Daphnia pulex: one gene and its partner. The protein of the gene in region 1 purifies or fractionates together with the protein of each later gene. This does not show direct contact. Links are inferred from orthologs where the notes say so. Each region holds a gene or a part of one and is shown on either strand. Other genes may lie near its edges.

Region 1 (10,398 bases):
AAAGAAACACCAGATACCACAGCACACAAGACCACCTGATTCTTTAGCGCATTGTCCGGCACACGCTCTCGCATCTAGACTTACTACACCACACGTCCTAATATTTTATTTTAAAAAAGAACGAGAAAAGAATGAACGCTAGGACGAGAGAATAAAAGAAGAAGATTTTCAAGGTCTTGGTGAAAAAAAAAAGGCTATGTGGACTGGAATGCGCCGTGCAGCACGGGCTGCACACACAATGTGCCATACAGTTTTGATTATTGTTATAATACAGATAGGAAAAAAGAAGAAGAAGAAGGTTCCATCGTCTCCTTTTTTAAAACTTGTTAGCTTCTTCTTATGGAGGAGGTTGGTTGGTTGGTTGGCACAAGTGTTGGAAGAAGAAAAAACACGGCCTGCCCTGTGTTGCTGTAACAACAGAAAAGACAAGAGGACTGCTTAAGAGCCTTTGATTGTTTGGCGAGAAGGAGGAAGAAGTTGAGGTTCAAAAATTGTTCAATGCCGCGTGACTGGACCGTCCAACAAAAGGGGCTCGGGCGCTCTTGCTACACTATACCTCTTCTCCTATATGTACACGTTACAAGAAGAAATCCAAATCATCGTCTTTTTCTTCTTCTATGTGGAACTTTATGTATTTATACATACTCTCGCGATGGAATAATCGAAAATCTCACACACTCACTATATATACCTCCCCGCCACTATTCTCGCTCATTTGGATTTCAATTTAAATATTTGATAGTGTGGCATTTTCTTTTTTCTTTCTCATTTTACAGACACCTCTTATAATAAATGCCTTTCTTCTCCGGCCTTCGTGTCTTTCACCCCCTTTTTTTTCCTATATAGATGCACGGATCCAAGGCTTTTCTTGTCTCTGTGTGTGTGTTTGTATGTGTATAACGAATGTCGACTACACACGTTTCTGGTGGCAGATAGGAATGAAGAACAAGAAGAAGAACAAGAGAGACCGTCGACAATGACGTTGGCAGATTTCGAGCCTTGGGGGCCGCCGCCCAAGCTCTATGGCATCGCAATATATTTATATGTATATGTATGGCCCCCAGTCCGTCTCTCTCCCCCCGCAGCATTATACAACATTCTAACTGATAGACACTACACGCAAATGTTTCTTTGACTTCGCACTCTTCTTCTTATTAGACAATGGTCGACAAAAGCTACTCAACAAATAAGGGAGGGGTCCTTGTGGCGTCTCTTTCAACAGCCAGTAAGACACCAACATATGGCGGTGCACCAACAGAGACAACGACATTCCACACAATTCTGTTCTCTCCGCGTTTATAACTCTCACAGTCGTCTCATCCTTTATTTTTATTTTATTTTCTCCTTTGATTTCATTCTGGCTTTTCCATGTTTGTGGACCGCTGGCAATGTGATGTGTGTGTGGGGGCCTCACACGTATAAAACCGTGGATGATATCCTCTTGTCCTGGAAACGCCCCCTCAATAGACGACAGCTTAGACACATGTCTTTCCAATCCATGCAACACACGGGTTATTGTATTCTTTATGTTATTACAGTCAGTTTTACCCCACAAAATCGGCGAACAACAACAAGTGCGGTTCAACTTGACAAATCCATCATTTCTAGAATTATAGCTGGGTGATATCTAATAGATGAAACAACTAACTATTATGTGAAAGGTCCCAGAGTACGTGATGAGGTAATTCGCAGAATGAGCCGGAAAGGGATTGTGATATATCTCGTTCCCCGTGAATTAACCAAACAAAAAGCGAATGACGCAAAGACCAGCACGACGAACCTTTTTTAAAAAATGTGTAGACACCTTTTCTTTTTCTTCTATTGCATGATTATGTATCACAACTTCGAGGCCAAATAATTTTCTGAAGTTAAGGTCCCTTGAAGCAGATTAGCCACCTTCAAGGCGCATCCGTAAAACGTGGTCAGACCCGAGCCTCCGTGCCCGTAATTGTGTATGACCTGCCGAAACAACAACCGTAATGAAGGAAAAAAAAAAAAGAACAATTAAGATGATTCCTAAGCGGTTACAACACATTAGGCAGAGAAATTAGTCAGTAGTAAGGTAGTACGTACAGTCAGAGGTTTGCCGTTGATTGTTTTCTTTTCGAGTTCAACGCGTAGTTGATTGCGACCTGGTCGCAATCCCACCCACTCATATAAAATTTCCGCTTTCTAGACAATGTTCAACGGTACCCGTTAATAACCAAGTTTTTTTTGTTTTTAATAGGCAAATTTAAAGTGGAAAATAGATGGGTACTGCAGGCAAACCCAAAAGGGCTGGCGATTTGCTTTGCGTTTACCTCTAGAGACGGAAACAAGGAAGTACAACCATCCAGGATGAATTTGGCATCTTCTTTTCTTGGAACAATGTCCCACTGATCTTTGTCGTGCGTTCCGCCCAGGACAACACTGTCCTGACTGTCAAGGTAAGAACGCAAAAATTAAAATTGAATTAAAAGAGGGAATCTATGTTAGCGGATAATACTTTGGGATAATATAGTTTCCTTTGTCGCTGTCATCGATTAATATCGATTTTTGCCATGGAGCTTTCACCTGTTGAATAAAGCGACAAGTGTCTTGAAATAAATTCGATGTGTATCTAAATGCAGTGAATTAATTACGCGAAAGATATGTCCCCGGATTGGGTGGACTGATATGTCGTTGACCAATTCTTTGGCTCCTATTCCGGAGCAGTTGATAATGACATCAAAATCGGAAGCAATCTCTTCGAGACTTTCAAGTCGTTTGACTATGACGATGCCATTTTTTGAGCGAAATTCTTCCAGCAGGTGGGGCATTAATTTAGACCCTTCACAAATAAAGGTGACAAAACGGTAGCCTTGCCTGTGATTCAAGATTTAAAAATAAATTTCACTGTGACTCACGATGCAGTAGCAGTATAACAATATTAGCAGACCTCCATTCAGGCTTATTGTACAATGCCAATTCTTCTTTTGTAAGAACTTGAAATCCATAGACGAAATCGCTATACATGGGCACGGGATTTACCGTGTCAGAAGTCTGCAAACATGGCACAAGAGAGACTCCAAGTTTTCCTCCTACAGGAGAGTCCCATAGTTTCTTTAAAAAAATCCATGTATCCTTGGAATAAACACTACAAACAATAGAATTAAAAGTTAAATATAGCTTTAACTTTAGAAAGAAACTTACTAAACATCTTTTTCAGGAGTGTCTCCCAACAAGAAAGGCATCCAAAGTCCAGCTAATAATGTAAACAAAAACAGAAATGTAGTCTTATATTATAAAAAACTTTTGTTGATGAACAAACTATACCTGCCCCATCACTTGTTGTTCCAGGGCTAAATTTGTCGGCAAAAAGGGTAATAGGTAAATTGGGGAATTTCTCTTGAAGTACTGTTGCAACACTCAGGCCAGTCACACCTGCTCCAATCACTGCTACTTTCACAACCATAGTGATTAGTTTAAATACAACACAATATGATGAATACACAAAGTCAATCCAATCGAGATTTTCTGGGTCTTGATCTAATGCGACTGCCTGTTGCTTCAGCAGCAGATGCTTCAGGTTTAGGGTCAGATACAGTTCCCAGCAACTCCCTAACAAACTTGAATCGTGACAAGAAGAATTTCCAAACTAGAAACCAACCTGATTAGAAACACAATAGATTAGAATGTTTTTTAGGTTTAAGCATATGATTAAAAATAAGCATCAAGGACAAAATTTTTATCATGAATTTAAAAAAAGACATAAAGATAACTGTTGTTGATGTTCTTCGCCCATGCATATTAATATTGCGTAAACAACTTACCAATTCCAACAATGCTCAAAACAATAATAACGGAAGCCACCAATCCTAGAATCACGAGTAGTACGTCAGTGACGAAATGGCTCATTTTTATGGAAGTAAAAATACAAAATTTATTTATTCGTTGCCATGTTTAAACACGTAGACAGCAGACAGATTGTGTTATCAAAGTTATTGACTACTGATTTTCTGCAGACAAACAGAGAGCGTTCAGTATGGTTACGTTTTTGCCTTTCTACCTGGTTCCGCGATAGTGGCGGTACCTGTCGTCCTTCAACAACGATACTTAATTTGGATTATTCTTGTAATAAATGTTTTCTATTCGCACGTAGGACAATTTTTCTTTTCATTTTGATGTAAGTTTTTTTACATTTTAATAGTTTGACTATCCTGTCGAATCTATGACGAAATGCTTGGATACAATTCAAGTCAGTACGTGTTGCAGCATTAACGGGCGTCGTCAGCTGAGAATAGGTTGCATTTTAATCATGGTTCACAAGGAACAACGAATTATTCTTCATTTTAGGAACTATAACAATTTATTCGTAAAAGTTAAAGCAGTAGCAATATTTTAAAATATAGAAATCTGCTCTATTGATTCAAATTTCAAATTGGCGCCATCTATTCTGACAGTTACTAACCGAAAAAGCTTCCAATTCCCTGTGGGATTGACGGACTCATAAATATCATAGCAGCCTACAAAAATTATAATTTAGTGAAATTTGACTCTAATTAAGAAACTATGTAGGGCAGTACGCTTTTCTTAACTTCGAAGGATAGCAAGTTGATTATTTTAAAGTTGAAAATCAAATTTCAACTGTAGTGGCAAAATGGCGTTTCCTTAATTCCAATTAATCAAATGCAGTTTTCCCCGGAGAGTTTTCATAATTTTTGGATACTCTTGGTTAAACAATCACATTTTTTCGTAATCACTTTGCCGCCATTTTATGAGAGCGGAAGTTAACTTAACCCTACGCATGGACTACATAGATCCGATTGAAATACTACATTCTTTAACAAAAAGATTCATGATTAGATTTAAAATAATTGAAAAATTTTATTTTTCACAGTACGTCGTTTTAATATATTTTATTTTTGGTCATTAGTTGAATATAAAAAATTCGTGTAATTCTTTTTCAAATAGAGGTCGCTTTTCCTTGAGAAAAACTGGTGGTTTTTTTTTCGCCACATGTGTTCGCCCTTCGCCGGTTGAGACGAACTTAACCGTCTGATTCTTTCACGCCTAGCTATTAACAAGTCCTAGAAGTTTTTTTTACGACTGAAAGATCTGTGATATTTATTAATAAAAGGAGGGAAAATGGTGCCCGAACCAAATATTCAACTAATTCAAATTTTGGAGAAAACTGTATCGTCAGGTTAGTTACTTAAATTTACTTTTTTCTACAACGGCATGGTTACAACGCCATTGATTTTTCCCGAACACTGAATGGTTTTAGTAACTGTCATTCACGTTTTGTCTAACAGAGAAGAATGAATTGGAAGCAGCCCAAAATTATCTTGAACAGGCAGCAAGAGGCAATCTGGTAAGCAACTTTCTTTGTTTCAACCAACTTTTCTCCCATTTTTGTGTTGCTAAGCAAAACTTGTATCAAATGTGGTTTGGCTAGATAAATTTAAAATTCAAACTAAGTCTCTACTTTGCTAAACTTGTACTTCTCACATAGGTTGAGTTCATCAGAGCCTTGTCTGACATTCTTGCCCATGGAGCAAATAGCCCTGTTGCCCGCATGGCAGCTGGTCTGCAGTTGAAAAATTGCTTGACTTCAAAAGATACCGATGTCAAGCTGGAATACCAGCAGAGATGGTTGTCATTCCCACACGATCTAAGGACCTATGTAAAAAAGAACATTTTAGCTGCTTTGGGTACAGAGACCATCCGCCCTAGCTCTGCTGCTCAATGTGTTGCGTACATGGCAGTTGCTGAACTACCAGTCAGTCAGTGGCCAGAATTGATATCTGTACTTGTTGCCAATGTCACTGCAGCTAACAGCACAGAAATGGTTCGGGAAGCCACTCTGGAAACGATTGGATATATTTGCCAGGATATTGTGAGTGATTCAAGTATTACATAATTTGGATGAGAAAATTATAAAATATGTTTTAAAAATGCAGGATGCTGAAGTACTAGCTACTCAGTCGAACGAGATTCTCACTGCTATCGTACATGGCATGAAACGTGAGGAACCAAGCAATCACGTCAGATTGGCTGCCACAACTGCGCTATTGAATTCATTGGAGTTCACTAAAGCTAACTTCGACAAAGAAGTATGTATTTTACTATTTGAATACCTACGTTTGTTATTACTGATCGCTTTCTAATTGTGTAGAGTGAACGGCACTTCATCATGCAAGTTGTGTGTGAAGCAACGCAATCTCCCGACACAAAAGTACGGGTTGCAGCACTTCAATGTCTGGTCAAAATTATGTCCCTATATTACCAATACATGGAGCACTACATGGGGCCAGCACTTTTTGCGGTGAGTTAATCAAACTGACAAAAAAATTTATACAAATTTTAAAGTTTTTACTCATTATTATGAATAGATTACACTGGAAGCGATGAGGTCGGAGATTGATGAAATCGCACTGCAAGGTATTGAGTTCTGGTCGAACGTTTGTGACGAAGAGGTGGATTTGGCTATCGAGGCCAGCGAAGCTGCTGAAATGGGCCGTCCGCCTGAACATACGTCTAAATTCTACGCAAAGGGAGCTCTTCAATATCTAGTTCCTGTGTTGATGCAAACGTTGACTAAACAAGAAGAGTATGATGATGAAGACGATTGGAATCCCTGTAAGGCTGCCGGTGTGTGTCTCATGTTGTTAGCCAACTGCTGTGAAGATGTCATCGTTCCTCACGTCCTTCCTTTCGTCAAGGAGAACATTGAGGTTGGATACAGTTCTTGAAATCACATTTTTGGTACAATAACATTTTCGTTTTTCAACAACTTTAGAATCCAGACTGGCGTTTCCGTGACGCCGCCGTAATGGCTTTTGGTTCTATCCTTGAAGGACCTGATGCTGTTCAGTTAAAACCTATTGTTGAACAAGCTATGCCTTTCCTTTTCAAATTGATGCATGATACAAGCGTTAATGTACGTGACACTGCAGCCTGGACGATTGGACGAGTTTGTGAAATCATCCCCGATGCAGCTGTGGCTCCCCCCAATCTTCAGCCACTGCTTCAGGCTCTCGTTACTGGACTGACTGCTGAGCCTCGTGTCGCTTCTAATGTTTGCTGGGCTTTCTCGAGCCTGGCTGAAGCTGCCTATGAAACTGCTTCACAGGTAACACTGAAAATTTGTAACTACGTTCAAATAAACCTAAATTTATGTTCTTGAGTTGAATAGGCTACCGATGGAAATGAACCAGATTCGTACTGCCTGTCTGAATATTTTGAGCCCATCGTTCAAAAGCTATTGGAAACGACTGATCGGCCTGATGCTGCTCAAGCTAACCTCCGTGCTGCTGCCTATGAAGCTTTGATGGAAATGGTCAAGAACTCGCCCAAAGATTGCTATATTACTGTACAGAAGACCACAATGGTCATCTTGGAGAGATTGCAACAGGTATTATCACTTACTCTAAAGCATGTTTTGGCATTGTAAAACGGATAAATTTTTTTAGGTTCTTAACATGGAATCCCACGTGTCGTCGCATTCGGATAGAGTCCAATACAACGATCTTCAGTCGCTGCTCTGCGCCACATTACAGAGCGTGCTTCGTAAAGTCACCCCAGAAGATGCTCCCAAGATCTCTGACCCGATCATGGCGGCCTTGCTGCAGATGTTCAATTCGAGCGCTGGGCCAAATCGTGCTGGTGGTGTTCAGGAAGATGCGTTGATGGCAGTGGCAACATTGACGGAAGTCCTTGGCGAAGGATTCATCAAGTACATGGAAGCCTTCCGTCCCTACCTTATCATGGGATTGAGAAACCACGCCGAGACTACCATCTGCCAGGCGTCCGTCGGACTGGTTGGCGACATTTGCCGAGCTCTAGGCGCCAAGATCTTGCCTTTTTGTGATTCAATCATGTCGCTTCTATTGGAGACCCTTGGCAACAACGAAGTTGATAGAAAAGTCAAACCCCAGATTTTGGCTGTATTCGGAGATATGGCTTTGGCAATCGGCCCAGAATTCAAGAAGTATCTTGAATTGGTTATTGGCATGCTGCACCAAGCATCTCAAGCCCAAGTCAACCGAGTAATTACAATTTCGTTTAATTTGAAAGTGTTTGGTTTTAATGTTTGGTTATTTGCAGAATGATTTTGATATCATGGATTATTTGAATGAACTGCGCGAATGCTGCCTTGAAGCATACACTGGAATTGTTCAGGGTCTCAAAGGGGAAGACAAAGAAACTATTGGAAATGATGTCCAGCTTATACTTCCACATGTTCCCCACATGATAAACTTCATCACTACGATTGCGAGAGACCGGGAGAAATCAGATGGCACCATTTCTGCCGCCGCTGGTCTTATTGGGTACAGGATCATTTTTTATTTAGCTAGTACTTGTATTTAATATAATTCTCTCTCAGCGATCTTTGCTCTGCCTTTGGACATCAATTGCTGCCTTTCGTTGACACTGAACCAATCACCGACATGCTGACTATTGGACGACGATCTAAAACGGGAAAGACAAAGACTCTGTCTAACTGGGCCACGAAGGAAATCCGCCGACTGAAGGCCACCGTTACTTCGAGTTGGTGAGTGTTTTAGCTGCTAGTTTTTTTAAATATTAAAATCAGAGGAACGCAAAATTCTTTATTATTTTTCTACTTAAAATACCTTACTTTATTTTAAAAGATTAAGTTTACTTTATTTTAGGTTAGGTACGTACAGTATGTTAAATATTGGTTGTAAGGTTGATTGAGAGTGAAAGAGTATGGATATGAATGCGATTCTTTGTCTTATTATCTGTTACAGATTGGCCAAATGATTGGTACGCATGCGCGTGAGGCAAAAGAGAAAAACGTGAACATTTGATGATGAAGCGTGAGTGGTGGATGAAAGTGAATCGGACTTTGCCTACTAGTATCTCTTTTCAAAACTTATTCCTCACTTCAGTACACATTCACGCAGTCTTCCATCCTCTTATCTCTTCTGTCTTTCCTTCTTTTTTTACGGATACCATCGCACCAACTATTCCTCCTTGCCAGCACTTGTTTGCCCTTCCATTTCAGTCTTAATTTTTCCCTTCACTTTTCATTTATTTTGGTTGAACGCTGTACGAATGTCCGAACGGATGTATGAGAGAGTGTGTGTATGTATGTATCCATGATGTTTGTATGTGTGTGAATGGGACGTTGTCGGCCAATTGATCTATTTGGAAAGGATGTGAGAAAATGAGACGAAATAGTTGTTTGATTGAAAGGGAAAAAAGCGAGTAAATGGGTGAGCGAAAAGGAATCTTGCACTCAAGGACATCCTAGTGTCAAACCTGTTCTGTCAACTTCTTTCCTAAACCCCTTTCTATCTAGTTAAGGTTTTCCTCTTAATCCAAGAAAAAAGGGAAGGGCTTGCACATTTAGCTTAATCAACGACTGATAACGAGAAAAACGACTTTATACTGACTACATTCTGTGTGTGTGTGTGTGTGTGTGTATGTGTGAACGTGCGTGTGTATTTTGGAGGTTTCTTGAGGCAAGTCAAGAAACTTAAAGGTTCCCCCGACTAACATTGGGAAAGATATCAGCTACTGAAAGGGATTATGTGTGCTTCTCGGTACCATTCCAATTAATTGCTAATCAATATCTTCCATGTCCCAAGTTAGTCTTAAAAATCTTTATTTTTTATTTGTTTTAAAATCTGTCAACAAATTCAGAAATTCTAATGGGAATTAGGTTTCGCTCGATTGGTTGAGTCATTCGCTTTGTAAATGAGAATACCAAGTACCTTGAGAAAATAGTCGTCGTTTAAGAAAGGACGAATAGGTAGATATTTTGAAATGACTAAATATCTGATATTTGGTTGGCTGTGGGGGGAACAGGTGGTGTGATTGTGAGTTTGCTTAATTATACGAAAAGTACAAGGGTGGTTTATATGTAATGAAAGCAAAGTGTGTGAATGGATCTTCTCCGGTGTATCTGAAACTGTGTAAATGTGACGGACATTACTTCTTAACGTGACTAATAAATGTGCGAAGTGCGGGCCCTTAAAAACACAAAATTTACTCGCCTTCATTACGGTATTTTAACACGATCGAGTTATGATGAAGCAATCAAAGAGACGGGACATTCCTTTCCCTTTCAAAAAATGACTTAATCGGTTTTGAATCAATCTTCTTTACTTCGGTTTGTATGATATTTTAAATTTGAATGCTCAATTACTGGGAATCGTTATCCCTATTTTCAGTGGAAAAAATGTGTTGATGCCTGCCATTTTTTCACTCTAAACCAATGTTGATTTTGTCGAGAGTAAATGTGATTTACTTCTTGTCATTTCTAAAATAAATATATTCAAGTTGTGATTTTCGGTCTAATTTTTTTTTTACAGGTTTCAAAAGAAAAACCTTAACGTTTCACACGATTGATTAATGAAGCTTTAGATTTTGTGGTTGTTAAATCAGTTATCCAAATAGTTAATGGTG
Region 2 (9,201 bases), on another chromosome or scaffold:
AAGGGTCCGACGATGGGTTTCCTGCGTGAGAGGCACACGAAAAAAAAAATAAAAACTATAGAAGACGACGACGACATAGTTGAGAACAGGTACAGGCTAGATTTCTAACAAGGACTTGAACGCGATATCAAATGAGGAAACGCGTGAGTCGCATGGGCAAAAGACAATCCAGCAACAAATGAAAAGACAAAATTTCCTTTTTGAACACAATTTTCAAGCCGAGCATTGTAACGATTCCGACACGCAATCGAGGGGAAATGTGTACGTATAGAAATAATTTGTGTGTCACGGACCGCAAACGCCGAATGGGGGCCACAGCGTCGGTTCCGGTCCCCCCCTCCACAATAACAAGGAAAAAAAAGAAAAAAATTCCGTCATTCAAAACCTGATGGACGGGACAACAGAATTCCCGGAAGTGATAACTTGCACAAAAGGATAAAAAATGTTGATTGAAAAAATATGAGGAAAGTAACGAGATTTTTAATCGTGTTTTATATTCATCCCGTCGTTGTTTTCCCGCAACATTGTTATGGATAGATTTGTATGTATACCACCTGTCACGGAGGTAACAGCCATTCTTGCATTAACGTCAATATTACCTTTTGTACTTTTTTTACGACGTCTGCATTTAAAATTCAAACATCAAAAGTTATAAGCGCATTAAACAATCGATAATCCAATCTCCGAGATAGACTCGGCAGGGTTAAAAATATAAAGAAACTGATGATAAAGAAATGATTGTTTTGGGTAGTATATCTCTTCCCCCTGCGGTTATTATTACCCTCCACCATGAAATACTATAGTGTATTGGATTATTTGACAGTCAAAGGCGGGACTGACTCTCTCGGTCGTGTTCTTTTTAGACAATTTCCCCTCCAACTCTTATGTCTGAAGCGTGTAATCTTATTGTCTTTTTTCTCTTCCCCCTCCGGTACCGCGCTCGTATATAGTTGCTGGCCATCATTTGCATCGCCCTGTTGCGCTATTACAATTTATCCTTCGGCGGAGAACTCAACCAGGCCTCCTATCACGATCGTTACCTCTTCGGTGTCATGACCATCGGTGGTATGCTGCTCGTAACCATTCCCATCTTCGTGGCCCACCTTTTCGGATCGGAAATTCGACCAGGATTGGTATGTTATAGGCACTCATTTTTACTTCATTATATCATGATTGACACCACTAATGACTTGATGAATAGGATTTGATTTACTCGCTGATGGGATTCGTCCTCTTTCTGACGGCCGGAATCCTCTCGCTTGAATTTTACGTCATCTACCGCAATCGGCCAGGCAATTTGAATGCGGGGCGATCGCTCGGGGTATAATTTTTCACCTAAAACTTTGCTTTTTAGTTAAATTTGTATTTAATTTCTCCTTTTTTACACAGTCGATGCTCATCATCAATTCATTCTTCTTTCTGCTCAACACAATCGTTTCTCTGGTTCGAATTTTCCTCAAGTAATTCGGCAGTTTCATCTCAACTCTGAAGCACAAAAACAAGGAAAACCAAATTTTCAACACAAAATCCAATCAGACAAAATTAGTTTAATATTTTATCTAGAAATTTTCTTAGATGTTTCCAACTCTTCATTTCGAAAGGGTTGGGCAACGAATTTTGTTGTGTACCATATTTTTTCTGTTGAGCCACCACCATGCAAATCACACACACCAAACTTGTAACCAATATCACACAATATTTCTTATTAGCTCTATTTAGAGATGATGCCCTTCTATACTATTTTAAAAAAATGAAGTTGTAATAACGTCCTATCCGACTGCCGATACCGGTGCTCTAATTTATCAAGAAAATTGGCACTGCAACCAAAATCTCAATTGTGTAGAGTCTGAAATTAAGTAGATGACGTTCTGTTGACGTGTGGAAACAACGGCATCAAATACAAAAGTATCTCATTTTTATTGGACGATTCGCGAACGCTTTGATAGAGATAACGGCCCACAAAATAATGATGAGTCGTCTTCAATTCGTAGTAGATGAGATTCACAATAATGCGGAAAAAAATATTTCCAAGTAAAAAATATGACAGGGAGGGTGAAGGGCTGGTTGTCGAACAAACGTTTTGGGTAAAGGCCATCCCCTTTGGCGAAATAACAAGGAGCAACTGGCCAGCATAAAAGATGCAGTGACGGACATCATCTTTACTAGTCATTGCCCGACTGCAGTAAAAGGAATACAGTTTGACATCTTTCCTCAAAAGTAAAACAATTTCATCAAATCATCCGACAATGGCCGACTTCAGACTTTTGGCTCGCACTCACGGCTTCATGAAGCTGGCTGAAATTGTAAGAAAATCATTTTAATCAATTTTTATTGAATTAAAATTACTCATTTTGTTTTTTGAAACTTAAGATTATTGCTATTGTCTGCCTGATCCTGATCCGCACGTACTCGTTAAATTTCGGCGGTGACGTCACAACGGGATCGTTCCACGATCGCTACAATGTCGGATTGGTCACGGTGGGCGGTATGCTGCTAGTGTCTCTGCCGCTGCTCATTTCCTACCTGTGGAGCACTTCGGGAACTTACCAGCCGTTCCTCGAGATCATCTACAACACTTTGGGTTTCATCCTCTTCTTGACTGTTGGATCGCTGGCCTTGGATCATTACCGCAACTACGCCGGAGTGACTCACACCGGAAACGACAACAGGGGAGACACCAATCCCAACAACAACTGGCTCGGAACTAACAACTCGACATGGGCCGATTCCGGAATCGGTAAAGCCTTCGGCTTCGGCAACAACACCGAAAATGCTAATGCTGGAAAAGCTCTCGGGGTATTTAAAACAAACATTAGTCTTTAGAATTTTAAATTATTCATGTCGTTTTAATGAATTGTTTATAGGCTCTTTGCATCATCAACGCTTTCTTCTATTTGACCGATGCTGCCTTGGCACTCCGACAAGGTTCCACCGTCTGAACGAGCTGCTGCGTTATCCTCATTCAATCACGAGAAATTCACATTTGCTCGTGAAAATGAATTTTCAAGAATAGCTCGTCAAACTTCCTTATATAACAAATTTATTGTTTTTTTTTCCTACATGTGAATTTAGAATTTTCTACCGTGTACGTTTTATGTTTGTTCTTAAAAAATAAATATATGACGTCATGGATAGTACAATAACGAACCGTGTTGGGAAAATTATTTGGCAACGTTTCAATAAGGATGGTGGGAAAAATATGTCCCACGTATTATGTGGGAAAGTGGCCATGGATGGATGAATTGTTTACGCATCAGTGGGTCAATAATGAACGATGTGCTTTATAGTTGTCGCCTTCCACGTGAACAAATTATACCCGAATACTTTTGAGTTAAAAGAAATTGCCATAATAATCCAAAAGTGATGTTTTTATCCGGAATCTTTTATTCTCACCTATAAAATGTGAATTATAACATTTTTAGAGGAGCGACCGCAATTTCGTCTGCGGTCGTTTCGTTCATTCGTCGAGTGTGTTGTATGCATTCGACCGATATGAGAATTATTGTTCATCCCACACACACGCGACGCTATTTTTCTTCTTTAACGGCCGCAATCACCGTGGCGTCCGTCAACCGCATCCATCCATTCTGGACACTGAAAAGGTTTTCCATTTCACGCATAAGTAACGAATAATGTTCTCTAACGTGTTACACGCCGCTGCTTCTAATGCGCATAACTCACAGCACTTTAAAAGAAAATTGTTTTCAACTTGTTACGTAATCGGAAATTCAACAGAAAAGTTAAGTTCCGAATTTATGAATAATTCCCTTGGGAGAGAAAGTCTTTTTCTATTTGCGTCGTCGGCTCAAATGCGAATCGTTAGTAAAACGCCTGGGAAATTCCGTTGAACTCGACTAGGGGAAAACCGAGGAAGAAGAACGTTGATCGAGATACAACCAATAAAACATTTGCAAGTTGAAGCGCATCTTTCCATCATTCCACATCCAGCAACCGAAGAAACGACAGCCAAAAAATAATTAAAGAAAATGTCCGATACACGTGCACTGGCCCATGCTCGAGGAGCGATGAAAATTGCCGAAGTGGTAAGTGTGAATTATTTCCAGTCTTTTGTATTTAATGTGTGTTTATATGTACGTTCTTTTGTCAGGCTTTAGCTGTTGTTTGCCTGGTCGTTTATCGTCACTACAAACTCAGTTTTGGCGGAACTGATTCGGCAGCCGCAGATCGTTACATCGGTAATAATTCTTCCTGTTTCACAAGAGTAAAAATTTAATGTTTTATTTTGAATTTTTCAGTTGGAATAGTTACATTCGGAGGGATGCTACTCGTCTCTGGTATGCATTCAAAAAAGTGTTGAAATATTTATTGGATTCAATTTGCATAATCTTTATGTGTGTGCACAGGGCCTTTACTTCTCGCTTACATTCGCTCGCCGGCCGGCATTGTGAATTACTACACACCTTTCCTCGAAGTTATTTATAACGTTATCGGCTTTGTGCTGTTCTTAACGGTCGGAGGTTTGGTGTTGGAGCACTACAAAGGACATTTAAAACCTCTGACAGGCAACGAGCCTGGAGTCGCCCTTGGGGTAACGCACACAACTTTTAAATATATTTCTTTGGTGTGTATCTAATAAAAAAAAAACATTTTTATTATTATACAGGCGATTTGCTTAATCAATTCCGTTATTTACTTGATCGATGCTTCCCTGGCTATCAAGCAAGGACTTGAATAATGCGACAAGTTACGTAACCGGAAGAAGCCAAATGAATTTTTTTTTACTTATCCGATGCAGATTAATGAATGATAATGTTGAAGGATGAATACAGAATTACAGATTTACTACTTGATATTTTCCAATGCTTTGTTTAAAAGAAAAATAAAATAAAATAATCGCATACGAATTGTGAAAAAAACAAAATAAACAAAATTCTATGAAATCTACGATCATGTGACGATTTAACCTCGAGATAAAACCGTTAAAAATAAACATGGGATTTTGAATTTTGAATGGTTGGCTACGTGCGATCTAAAATATCGATAGCAAAAATATTTGAAAACGGCGAAAGTGAAGCGGGAAAATATGGCAACTCTGCCTGACCCGCGTGTTCAAGCGCCCCCTAGACTTTTCAATCTTTTTTTCTGACTAGTTCCGACTCTCGAACCAAAAGTGCTCTATCGGTGACATTCATTCATCGTCAGTCGTATTCCCGCCAAGTTATATTTCGTTTTGTCACGTGAAATAATATCAAATAAAAATGGTTAAACGGAAGGTATGTATATTTTTTGCATTATTAAGTGTTTGTTGGAAATAATAGCAGGGGCTCGATAGTGTGTAGATGCCGGTATTGTGTTGTCCACATGAAACCGTTAGCATTGTTGAGCTTCGACATACCTTTGGGAAAACATTTTCACAACTAGCTTTGGGTTTTTTAGAAACTAACTGTTGATCTTAATTTTTTTATGTATGATTTTTGGAAATATGCCATGTATGTGTTTTTGACATTTCCACAAAAGTATATTCTTAAATTTGTATTTTTCTTTTTAGGTTGCTGAAGTTGAAGACAAACCTGTGGAAGCAGCCAAGCCAGCAGCAAAGGCAGCTGCCAAACCCGCTGGAAAGCCAAAGGCAGCCCCCAAGAAAGCCAAAGTTGCCGCTAGTCCAGACCAAAGCCCTGTGAAAAAAGTTACAGAGAAAGCAGTGAAACCAGCCAAGGATGTACCAGCTGCTGAACCTGCTAAACCAAAAGCAGCACCAAAAAAAGCAGCACCAAAAGTAGCTAAAGCATCACCCAAAGTAGCTAAAGCAGCACCCAAAGCAGCTAAAGCAGCACCCAAAGCAGCGCCAGCTGCTTCCAAAAGTAAAGCAAAGAAAACAGAAGAATCGGAAGATGAGGCACCACCACCACCAAAGGCTAAACGGGTTGCCAAAACAGTTGCCAAAGAAACAACAGCAGTCACAAAAGTAGTGAAGGTTCCAAAGCCCAAACCTTCACCAGTCAAGGCCAGGAAAGATCTAACAGGCAAAGCACCTATCTCTAAAGTTCCCAAGTAAATCATGTTGACTGCTGTCTTTAAACATTTAAAATCCTTTTACTAAATATTTTTTGAATATTTGTATCTAGAGTGGCCACACCAGAAAAGAAAAAGGCTGCTGCTACTAAAGCAAAGAAGGCATCGTCAACCTCTGAAGTGGAATCCTCATCTGAAGAAAGCCCTGCAGAAGATGTCAAAGAGAAAAAAGATACTGGCAAAAAGAAAGCAGAGATTGCTGAAACTAGAAAGCGAACAAAGGCTGTCAAAGAAGTTGTAGCTTCTAAGAAACCTAAAAGTATGGAAAATAATTAAAAAACCTGATTTATTTGGAACATTTCAGTAACCAGCATTCATTTCTAGTTGAAATAGTTGTCCCATTCCGACACACACGAGGAACCGGCATGGTTCTCTCCATGGGCCAAGGGGACGTAGGCCAACTTGGATTAGGTCCTGATGTTTTGGAGAAGAGTCGACCTGCATTAGTGGATAAAGTCAAAGACGTAATAGATGTAATTGCCGGTGGTATGCACACGGTCTGCCTTACTAGTAAAGGTTAGTTTACAATTTATTCGTATTTTTCTAGGAGAAACAGTCTAATTTTATGATTTTATTTTCAGGTGAAATTTACACTTTTGGGTGTAATGATGAAGGAGCCTTAGGCCGTGACACTAGCGAAGAAGGAAGTGAATTTGAACCTGGACTAGTCAAATTGCCCGGCAAAGCCACGTTAATATCGGCGGGAGATTCGCACACTGCTGCTTTACTAGAAGATGGACGTTGTTTTATCTGGGGCACATTCCGCGTAATATACATTCTCTTTATGCCATATGGAATTTTTCAACTTAACCAAATTTTTGTGTTGATGACAGGATTCTCACGGGCCTATGGGATTGAACGAATCTGGTTCGCAGAAGTTACCAGTTCCTATTCTGGAGGGCATCCCCATGACACAAATCGCTTCTGGTGCCGACCATCTAGTATGTCTTACTTCCGACGGACAGGTTTATACTTGTGGTTGCGCCGAACAGGGCCAGTTGGGTCGCGTTGCTGAAGTTTTCTCCAATCGAGGAGGTCGAAAAGGCAAAAGTTATCTACTCACTCCACAGCCGGTCGCGTTGGGAAAGGGCAAGAGGCGGATTGTTATCGATAATGTTTGGACAGGATCTTATGCCACATTTGCCCGTGCTAAAGAAACTGGCCTCATTTATGTCTTTGGTCTGAACAACTACAATCAACTTGGTACTTAGCAAACAAAGCCTTTTTTATTCTTTTGAGTGTGACTGATAATCTCCTGTTTTCCCCTAAAAAAATAGGATTACCAAGCCAAGACGCTCGTTTCCAACCTGAAGTTTCCGATGGGTTCAAGGGTCATCGTTGGCTGAGCATTTCCTGTGGCCAGCATCACACACTTGCCTTGGACGAGAATGGTAAAGAGAAAATTTACAGAGTTTTTTTAAAACCTTTTTAATCTTCAACTCCTTTTTATTTTTTACAGGTCAGGTATACAGTCTTGGCCGAAAGGAATACGGACGATTGGGTATGGGTGCTGATGCCAAGGACTTAGCGATCCCCACGCCAATCCCTGCTCTTCAATCACAGAAATGTGTCGAAGTGACTGCTGGTGAATCTGTTTCTTTGGCTGTCACAGAATCTGGTAAGATAAACTTTTTAAATTCTTGAAATTAAGCCGTGTTCTGAATTGTTGTATTGTGTTTTAGGAATGGCATTTTCCTGGGGTATGGGCACGAATGGCCAGCTCGGTCTCGGTCATGAAGATGATGTGTTGGAGCCGACGACTATTAAGGGCAAGGCGTTAGAGAACCGACTGGTCCTTTTGGCCTCTGCAGGTGGTCAACATACTGTTTTGCTAGCTGCCGACAAGTCCTCAACTACGACAGCCTCCACTGCTCCGCCGGCTCAACCCGCTGCTGTAACTGTAAATGCGGCTGACTGATAGATAGACTAGGTCCCATTCCGTATCGTTTAAAACCTCAAACCGATGTGTTCATCCCCTACCCGTTCACTTCCAATTTAAATGGACTTGAATACCGCTTTATCGGGTGGTTTTTCTCTTGCAGTTAGTTTTCAATGGTTCTAACCCCTTTGTTTTTTAAATCCAACCCATCCTGATAGGACGCGTTGGGTAAAAGGGAGACAAACAATTAAACAGTTGAGTAGCATTTTGTGTCACGCGATACGGCGTAGTCCTCACACCCCTCATCCCCAATTTTAATTTTAGGAACCTATTTTGTCATCCACTCTTAACCTCACATGCACACTCCTCAGAAGAATTAACACGAATGAGATGGAAATAAATAGCGAAGAATTTCATTTTCAAATCAATTGTATTTTATCTAAGTATATAGCTTAGGCTGTGGGTTAGGTTCAATAAATGAATGTACAATTTATATTACTACTCTTAGAATGACACGATACGTGTTGTAAATGAGATGTCGAATTTTACCAAATCAAGAATGGGTATCACGTTTTACAAGGAGAAAACTTTAGTTGAGTTATTAACGAAAGTAAAAGGTAATATGCAAACCGGTTCAATTCTCGTCTACCTCATTTTGTGGGTTAATGGCAACAACTCGCTGAATGTAATCTAATATGACTGGATCCTGTCGTGTATGTTAAAAAAAAAAAAAAGAAATTAATAATGAGAATAGGTCACGACCGGAATAAACGTAATGGAGGAATAATTACATAGAGTACAGCCATGTGGTCTCTTTTCGGAAATGCTTGGACGTAGACGGGTTGTGACTGCTCCTTGGTCCATTTACTACAGGCAGCAAGACTGCGAACATTGACAGTGCCATCGCCATCTCCCATAATGATAGTGGCTTTACCAAGTGGTGTTGACTTACTGTAGACTAGACGCTCAGCTGTATCTACACCCGTTCCGAACTGCACAAAAAATAAACAAACGAATGAAGATGAATGAGGGGGTAGATAAAACTGCTATCAAGTGAACATACTATGCAATGGATCTCTACGCCTGGTGCTGTCAAATCGTGCACCAAAGGATGCGTGTCCTGCCACATATCATATCCGAGCGGGAAATCAATATCTCTGAATGAGGGAGACGAACAAACAAAACATCTTTCTCTCAAAAGAGGAATTCAAAAGCATTATATAACCATGGGTATCTTACAGGAAGAAGTCTTGATAATCTTGAATAGTGTAATTCCGACTTGAAGTCTG

Evidence for each region. Proteins that work in one complex are often made in the same cells at the same time.
Region 2: the proteins of importin subunit beta-1-like (region 1) and regulator of chromosome condensation-like purify together in Homo sapiens (affinity purification with mass spectrometry; 3 studies listed by BioGRID and IntAct, counting the BioPlex papers as one, with this or other methods). This does not show direct contact. The link is inferred for Daphnia pulex from reciprocal best matches to the Homo sapiens genes KPNB1 and RCC1.

What each region holds. Positions count from the first base shown.
Region 1 is NC_060020.1:1,459,749-1,470,146, reverse strand, and holds importin subunit beta-1-like, read left to right. Parts: upstream 1-4,916; 5' UTR 4,917-5,106; coding exon 5,107-5,164; intron 5,165-5,273; coding exon 5,274-5,332; intron 5,333-5,473; coding exon 5,474-5,857; intron 5,858-5,921; coding exon 5,922-6,074; intron 6,075-6,136; coding exon 6,137-6,286; intron 6,287-6,353; coding exon 6,354-6,695; intron 6,696-6,760; coding exon 6,761-7,093; intron 7,094-7,156; coding exon 7,157-7,375; intron 7,376-7,433; coding exon 7,434-8,009; intron 8,010-8,067; coding exon 8,068-8,291; intron 8,292-8,347; coding exon 8,348-8,515; intron 8,516-8,735; coding exon 8,736-8,736; 3' UTR 8,737-10,278; downstream 10,279-10,398. Other genes in the region: D-aspartate oxidase-like, read right to left, coding at 1,837-1,959, 2,074-2,172, 2,301-2,418, 2,486-2,553, 2,622-2,844, 2,918-3,115, 3,172-3,223, 3,295-3,433.
Region 2 is NC_060019.1:10,920,442-10,929,642, reverse strand, and holds regulator of chromosome condensation-like, read left to right. Parts: upstream 1-5,076; 5' UTR 5,077-5,219; coding exon 5,220-5,234; intron 5,235-5,509; coding exon 5,510-6,012; intron 6,013-6,086; coding exon 6,087-6,292; intron 6,293-6,357; coding exon 6,358-6,549; intron 6,550-6,614; coding exon 6,615-6,799; intron 6,800-6,866; coding exon 6,867-7,236; intron 7,237-7,310; coding exon 7,311-7,424; intron 7,425-7,492; coding exon 7,493-7,651; intron 7,652-7,715; coding exon 7,716-7,951; 3' UTR 7,952-8,336; downstream 8,337-9,201. Other genes in the region: uncharacterized protein LOC124190641, read left to right, coding at 951-1,133, 1,202-1,321, 1,390-1,464; uncharacterized protein LOC124190640, read left to right, coding at 2,247-2,303, 2,371-2,796, 2,865-2,939; protein snakeskin-like, read left to right, coding at 3,987-4,043, 4,109-4,196, 4,257-4,295, 4,365-4,549, 4,625-4,696; phospholipase A2 group XV-like, read right to left, coding at 8,547-8,618, 8,704-8,904, 8,976-9,069, 9,152-9,201. UniProt on the Homo sapiens protein: Guanine-nucleotide releasing factor that promotes the exchange of Ran-bound GDP by GTP, and thereby plays an important role in RAN-mediated functions in nuclear import and mitosis.